Linked DNA regions of Drosophila melanogaster. The gene in region 1 interacts genetically with each later gene. Each region holds a gene or a part of one and is shown in the gene's direction. Other genes may lie near its edges.

Region 1 (3,932 bases):
ATATATATGAGAATATATATAGTAGTCACTTTTTGCGCGCCTCAAAAATTGTTATTGCACATTTAAAGGCGTCATTATTAGCGGCTACACGGAGGCACTAACAATTGTCCATGAATTTCGAATGAAACTGGAGTCTACGCACTAATTGGACGCTGTAGGAGGATCGGAAGGAGCAGGACATGGTCAGGGAGAGTGGACCGATCTGGACCATTGGTATTGCAACTTTTTTTTTTGTCTTACTCCACTGCTCTTAGTGGGTTATCACATAAATTGTGCGCACAAATCTTGATCTGCAAATCATTTTCGACAACTTTACGGCCCCAAAGGCGAGGATATGGAGAAGGTGGTGGGGTTCTTTGGGGCATCGAGGCCCCACTCTATATGCATATGTATGATCGTAACTTTGCTCCGCTATCTGTCGCTGCGATCTCGATCAGAGTGCGCATGCCACGATCCACGATCGCAGGCAACAATATTTTGTGGAACTCTGCGTTTAGTTACTTTTATTTGTGGTCGCCATTTCCTGTGGCACCATTAACCCATTTTCTGAGGGAACTAAAGAGATTTGGTTTCAGTAAAATCGCAATGAAGTTGGAAAATCCTTGAAGCCTATTTAAACAATATTTCTCTTACGATTCTGCCTTTACAATTGGTTAATAATAATATTATGTTATTATTATGTTCATCATTTCTTTCGAAAAAAATCAAAAAGATTATTAAGAATACTTTTATTAATATTTTACTATGAATTTACTATTTCCAATGGAAGAAACAGAAAATTGTGCTTTTGATGTACAAATTTTGGAAATTTGTTATTTTTTTATCAGAATATCATCACAGGATATTATCACAGGATATGGAGAAAAACTAAGCTTCCCCTTAAACCAACCTGATTCTAACTGATCTTTTACTGATATGAATAGTGTCATTTTAAATATTAAATAAAAGTATCAATACATTAAATACATAAGTATGCCCAGGAATATGGCCAACAATGGGTTAACGGTCTCAATCAGAGCTTGGAATAACTCAGTTGACCCGTCCACTTAATTTAGGGACTCAACACTAGCTGGCACCGTCCTGTCAGCGACTAATGAAATTTATGCATTTATGCTGGAATCCTTGCCAGCGCCAGCGAGTGGAGGAGCACGAATGGGACAACGGACGATGATCCATGTTAATGTCCATCAAATGTGCCAGGGGTAAAGCAGCTGTCAATTCGATTGTTGGACATGTCCACATGTCCATGTTGCAATTTGCAATTAGCCGCACTAGCAACGGATATCGCAGAGGATGGGGAAGTAGAATGGCATTGGGATGGCGAATGGGGTATGGGGATATATAGAGTGGACATAGGATGCCCTGCAAGTGTCGCGATGCGCGTTTCCCGTGAGAAATTTCAATTATTTTAATTAGCGTGGCGATCGCGGTCGCTTTATTAGGCGAAACCGATCGATGTAAGCGCGTCTGCGGCTCTGCGGAGTCTGAAACCGAGTTGAAGTGTATCTGTATCTGGCCAATTTCCGCTGCACGCAACGCTCTGCTGCGCTGCTGCTCCGCCGCTGGCGTCGCTGCCACGAAGCTGGGAGCTGGAATTCCAAGTTGATAGCGAAGACAGTCGCCGGCAGAACAGGATTCTGGTACTCGGGCATCTTGAGGCCGCCTAATGACATGTTTTGGATAATGATGACGGTGCTGGAGAAGGAGTCTGCAAAAGACCTGGGCAACTTGGCGATGGAGTTGGAGAATGGCGTGGATACTGGTCCGCCGAGTGGCGATAAAAAGCTGGAACTTAATTTAAATTGATGACACTGCTCTCGTCGCCGGCCACTTGGAAAATTGCCCACAAGCGGCGAACGTTTGCCGAGCAAATCAATCTGCATGCCAGCAGTCGGGGATTCGTTTTGCAGATGGACCACCCGGCGCACGAATTCGCGGATGTCTCTGTCTCTGTCCCTGTCTCTATCTCTGTTTCTATTCCTGTCTCTGTCTTTGTATATTTTGCAGCTGTAACTGCGGGCTTAATTGGCCGCAGCGGTGTCAATTGCAGCGCCACCACTGCCATCACAATGAGGGACCAATGACCAGTAGTGTCTGGAAGTGGTTAGTGGATGGCAGTGGATAGTGTCTAATGTCTAATGGCCAGTGGCCAATTCCCTGGCCACCAGCGGGCATTGAATGCGACTTGCTGACCAAGAGTGTCGCCCGCTGTGATTGGGAATGCCAATTTCAGCAATTAACAATGGCCATAAAAGCCTTGCCGGACAGGTGAGTAAAGCCGTCTTAAGCGCAGCGGATGTGAGATACTAAGTATCTCAGTTACCAGATAGCACTCGCCAGATACCAGATACCGCATACAAGGAGCTTACACATGCAGCACACCGTGGATTAGCAGAGTGTGAAGCGAAGGCGGAAACGATCTGAATCCGAATTCGATGCTAAATATGTATCTCAATCCGATTCAGTGTGGGGCACTAACCCGTAAACAAAAGCCAAAGGCCGCTGTCGAACATTAATCAGCAGATCGACCCGCTTAATGCACGCAGAAAAATATATTGCCTAATTAGTCATCAGTTTTATGGGCTTTATGATTTATAACAATTGCTGTTCTATAATTTTGTTGAAGATGCTCCAACAGCATTCAATAAACAGATAAAAGAACACAGCAAACTTTGAAAACCCAGCTACCAAGTGCCAGCAAAAATTAAGTTAGGTTGAATTATAACTTTCTGCTACCAAAATAAATCATAGCTAACACATAGAAAGTTATATTCACTAATATTGTACTAATTATACATTTTCAAATTGATTAGGTTCGAAAAATACAGTTACGAGCTTTCATATAATGTATTTTCCAACATAAAGGCTTTCAGAAACCATTCTTATGCCAGCTATTAAACATTTCTCTCAGTGTGGCAACAAAGTAGCAACATTTAGGAAAACAAGACACGAGTCATAGCTGTTGCTCTACAAAGTATCTATATTATTGCCCTTTGGCGGAGACTTCATAGCTCCCAGCTCCAGCATCAACTTCAACTTCAACTTCACTAGCGTTCAAGGCGCTGCAATCGCTGTGGGTGGGGGAATCTTGTCGGTGGGGGGGGGGGGGGGGTAGTTCAACGACTCGATAACAATAAGATGTTGAAAGTATCCGATATTTGGCGGGTGGGGAAGTGTTGGCCCGACCTTGGGCCGGATTGACCGCTTAGAGCACTCGAATACGATTGAATTGGCCACAAGTGGCTGGCTACGTTGGCCCAATCACGCACTCACTTCCTGGCCAACTGACTGGCGTGACCCATTGCCATTGACCCATTATGCGATGAGTAGTGCCAAATCCCAAAACGCAAGCCAAACTTAAACCCAATTCCGATTGCAGTTCGTAACAAAGGCGACGGTATGTGCCGTGCACTCTGGGTGGGAATTCGGAAATAGACACGTTCGACAGCTGCGGCACATAAACAAGTTTGATTGTTACGAAACACGGGCATTGAAATTAAAAAATGAAGACGTCGAGATCGCGACACCTGAATTATTTGCAGCCCTTATCGAATAAGTACACACAACTCGCGGTATGAGTCGCAAAAACCAAATTAGAATATCAATCTCATACGAACACACACACACTGGCAAACACTCGGGGCAATCATCTATCTGAGCAGCCATTTTATGAGTCGTACGAAGATGGAGATACAGATGCAAAGATACACACTCGCACATAGTGCGTACTGTATCGGCTGGGACATTGCATGTCCATTCTAAAAACTCGCTAGCTGGCTGGCTGGCTGGCAGAAGCCTGAAATATTGAACCGATATTGGGCAAACGCGTTTTCCAAAGCGTCGACCACCGATCGGCTCAGTACGATCCGAGCGATCAGTCCCGCTCACCAATACAGCGGACCATAGCCATAGCGCTCCGATCCGATCCGAGG
Region 2 (3,553 bases), on another chromosome or scaffold:
AAAGGAAAATGCAAAAGGCGGGAAAGCGAAGGAAAACTAAACGTGCCCAATGCGCGATTTCAGTGAATTCGCATAAAAACTTTCGCCCTAAACTTGTGCAAGTTCTTTTAATTTTAATTAAACGGATGAGCAGCAATTAGCGAAATAAATCTGACAATTTTGCAAATGAGCCAACTTGGCGCCCCAAAAATTGCATCCAAATGCGGGACAGATTAAATTGAGACTATGGAAGTGGCGAAAAAAATATGTTTTTCTCTGCAGGACATTGGAAAACTCCTACTAATAAAAAAAAAACAATTCGAATAACCAAACAACACGGATTTTTTGAGGGAGCCGATTTGCGGAGGGGTGCTCCCAACTCAGAACTCACTTAAATTCAAGTTAACGGCGAGTTTTTCCCGCCACCAGCTGGTTTTTCCAGCCGCGCATAGTTTTGGCTTCGGTTTTTGGTTTTAGCCCGGCTTTTTCGGGTTTTCTGGATGTTGCGGCTTAGCTCTCCCCACCACTCTCCCCTCAACTCTCATCCCTTTTCCATCGCATTTTATATTCATTTTGGCTTTTAATTGAGGGCGCTTACTTGCATTTTCGTTGTCACTTTGCGACTTCACTTCCTCATCACGCCCTTTTTTGGGGGCTTAATGGCCTGCACTCCGCTTTGTTTTTTGCAGTTTTTGCATTTAATTGCAAAAGTTTTTTAATTAAATCACTGCCTAGAACATCTGTGTCAAGTTGAGGTTTCTGTGGGCTCGTATTAACTGGCATAAAATAGGGATAAATCGGGGGGCCTCAATACATTTAAGGGAAATACGCGGTATAAAGTGTACCATTAGATAGTGGATGTTCAGATTGAAATTGCAATATAAAGTTGTACATGTACATTAGTGTACACAACACACTAAATTATGCGTACAATTATTTTCAAACCAATTATTTTAATTAGGTAAAAAATTAAAACTTACTTACCTTACTTTCTCTGTATTTATACATATTAATCATATTTATCTTTTAAGAATACAGGCTTCCTGTATAAGCATTTCACTATTTTTATACATACATACTTATGTATGCATGTACATACATATGTATGTACATGTATATATCAAACACACACAAAACACATAAAGAAAAAACAAAAAAAAAAAAATAATAATAACCGAAACCAAAGCTTTGCTTTATTCATTCATTCGCTATTAAGTAGTATTTCACAATTGTTTTAAGCTGACCTATGTATGTAAAAAATCATTCTACGTTGCCGTTGTGTAGAATCTAACTATTAAAATAACTGTTTAAAGTTAGTTTAATAAGTAAAGGAGGTAATAGTATACAAACAGAACGTACTTCCGCGCACACTAAAAAAACAGAACTGCTGCAAAAGAAGAGACCGAAATATATTCGATTAAAGAAAGCAAGACGAAATAACGGCACTTGCGCGAAAGCACGCTCTTTCTTTGGTTATGACTCACAATTCGGCGAGTAATTCGATCGCATCAAACACTTACGTTTGTTTACAGAGAGGCAATTGATTACAGTTAGTTCTTGCTCGAAGGCAGGCTTACAAGCTAGAAATAGCGGCACTTGCGCGAATGCTCACTTTTTCGGCTTCTTTTCTATTGTCGATATTACACGCAATTCAACGCTTAATTCGATCGCATTAAAAGAAATCAGTTATTGAAACGCGTAAAAATAGTGCGGTTTAATTATAGTTTGTGTCAGATTGGGATTATAACTAAATAAATACGAGTGTTCCGGTAAAATTAATATTACATCCCGCCAAAGAAAAACATCAAATCAACATGCTGTAAAAATGCTCAATCTGCTGATTCGCGAGTGTTAGTGTAAAATAAGTAAGAACTATGAAATAATCTAAAGCAGCAAATTTTTATTTAATAATTCACAAGAACGTGGTAAGTGATTTAAGTTCTATGTACATTTTACACTTTTTATTACATATATGTCCCCCTTGTGGTGGCCTTGTAGTTTTTAGGGGAATTTCGCTTGGCAAATTTTACCCATTTAGAAAAATTCTGAGAGAACGATATATTGCTATGCTAGTTGTTCTTATAATCGTTACCCCCTGTCAATTATCTATCACTGGCAAGAAAAATCCCCCTCATATATGTATGATACATTCATTTATATGGGGTCGGATGACTATCTCCTTGGGGGCACTCCCCTTATCAGCGGCAATAGGTGCCGCAGCCCATAAGATCCCAACCCAGTCAGTTGACAGACACGCAAGTGGAATGACTTGGATCGGTTTGCTCATCGTTGGCCTCACAGCAATCGCTGTCCAGGGGGAAGTACCGATCGTGACGAGGGCCGAGTGGAATGCCAAACCGCCGAACGGAGCCATAGACAGCATGGAAACTCCCTTGCCACGTGCTGTGATCGCCCATACAGCTGGAGGAGCTTGTGCGGATGATGTTACATGCTCCCAGCACATGCAAAATCTGCAAAACTTCCAGATGTCCAAGCAAAAGTTCTCGGACATTGGCTACCACTATCTGATCGGCGGTAATGGCAAGGTATACGAAGGCAGAAGTCCAAGCCAGAGAGGAGCCTTTGCCGGTCCCAATAACGATGGTTCCCTGGGCATTGCGTTTATTGGTAACTTCGAAGAACGGGCGCCCAACAAGGAGGCCTTGGATGCCGCCAAGGAGCTGCTGGAGCAGGCTGTCAAACAGGCTCAGCTGGTGGAGGGCTATAAGTTACTGGGCCATCGTCAAGTCAGTGCTACCAAGAGTCCTGGAGAAGCACTCTACGCTCTGATACAGCAGTGGCCCAACTGGTCCGAAGAAATGTGAAATATAGAGTGTGCATTGCATAAGGTTTCGACACGTAAAGACCACTCCTTACACATTTATTTGTAAATATAATTATGTATAATTTGTTTTTTTTTTTTTTGCTTAAATACGAATACTAAAATTTTAATTTTGTTGATCTGTTTCCGATGTACTTCTTCGACTTCGCACATTTTTGTCAGCTGCCGCTTTTTTTTTTTTTTACTTTTTTGTTTGTTGCCAGACCCGTTTAATAAGCAGGCCGCTCCCCAGGAGCAGTGCACTGGGCCACAATAGAGATTTGAGACATCACATAGCATCATTCACCGAACCGGAACTTCCGCAAGAAACTAAGCTAACTATACAGAACCCTAGATGAAGCACGGAACGCAGATGGAACGAACGTGAACATAGTCGTAGTCGTAATGGTATGCAGTAGATAATGCGCCAAACGAGAGAGGTAAACAAAAGTCGGCAACGTGGCAACAGATGCTGTTACAGATTACAGATTTAGAAAATATAAAACAAGGAACTATACAAAATTCGTAAAGTACTTAGGTAAATTGCACTAATATAAACTCCCATTTGAACTGCCGCTCGCACTGTCTGTACTGCCGACAATGCTGCCATTTCCGCTCATATTACCATTGCCAATTCCTATGCCAATACCGCTTCCGTTTCCGCTCTGTTGGGCAAAGTCCAGCTGGAGCAGCCAGTTCCTCTTAGCCAGACCTTCGGGCGTCTCGCCACGCTGCGTACACAGCGGCTGGAAG

What was found.
Region 2: of Nox (region 1) and PGRP-SD, changing one suppresses a phenotype caused by changing the other (phenotypic suppression), as found in Drosophila melanogaster (one study listed by BioGRID).

Annotation. Positions count from the first base shown.
Region 1 is NT_033778.4:16,305,187-16,309,118, forward strand, and holds the start of Nox (NADPH oxidase), read left to right. Parts: upstream 1-2,082; 5' UTR 2,083-3,932.
Region 2 is NT_037436.4:7,648,962-7,652,514, forward strand, and holds PGRP-SD (peptidoglycan recognition protein SD), read left to right. Parts: upstream 1-2,218; 5' UTR 2,219-2,243; coding exon 2,244-2,804; 3' UTR 2,805-2,939; downstream 2,940-3,553. Other genes in the region: CG7492 (uncharacterized protein), read right to left, coding at 3,349-3,553. UniProt on the Drosophila melanogaster protein: Peptidoglycan-recognition protein that plays a key role in innate immunity by binding to peptidoglycans (PGN) of Gram-positive bacteria and activating the Toll pathway. Has no activity against on Gram-negative bacteria and fungi.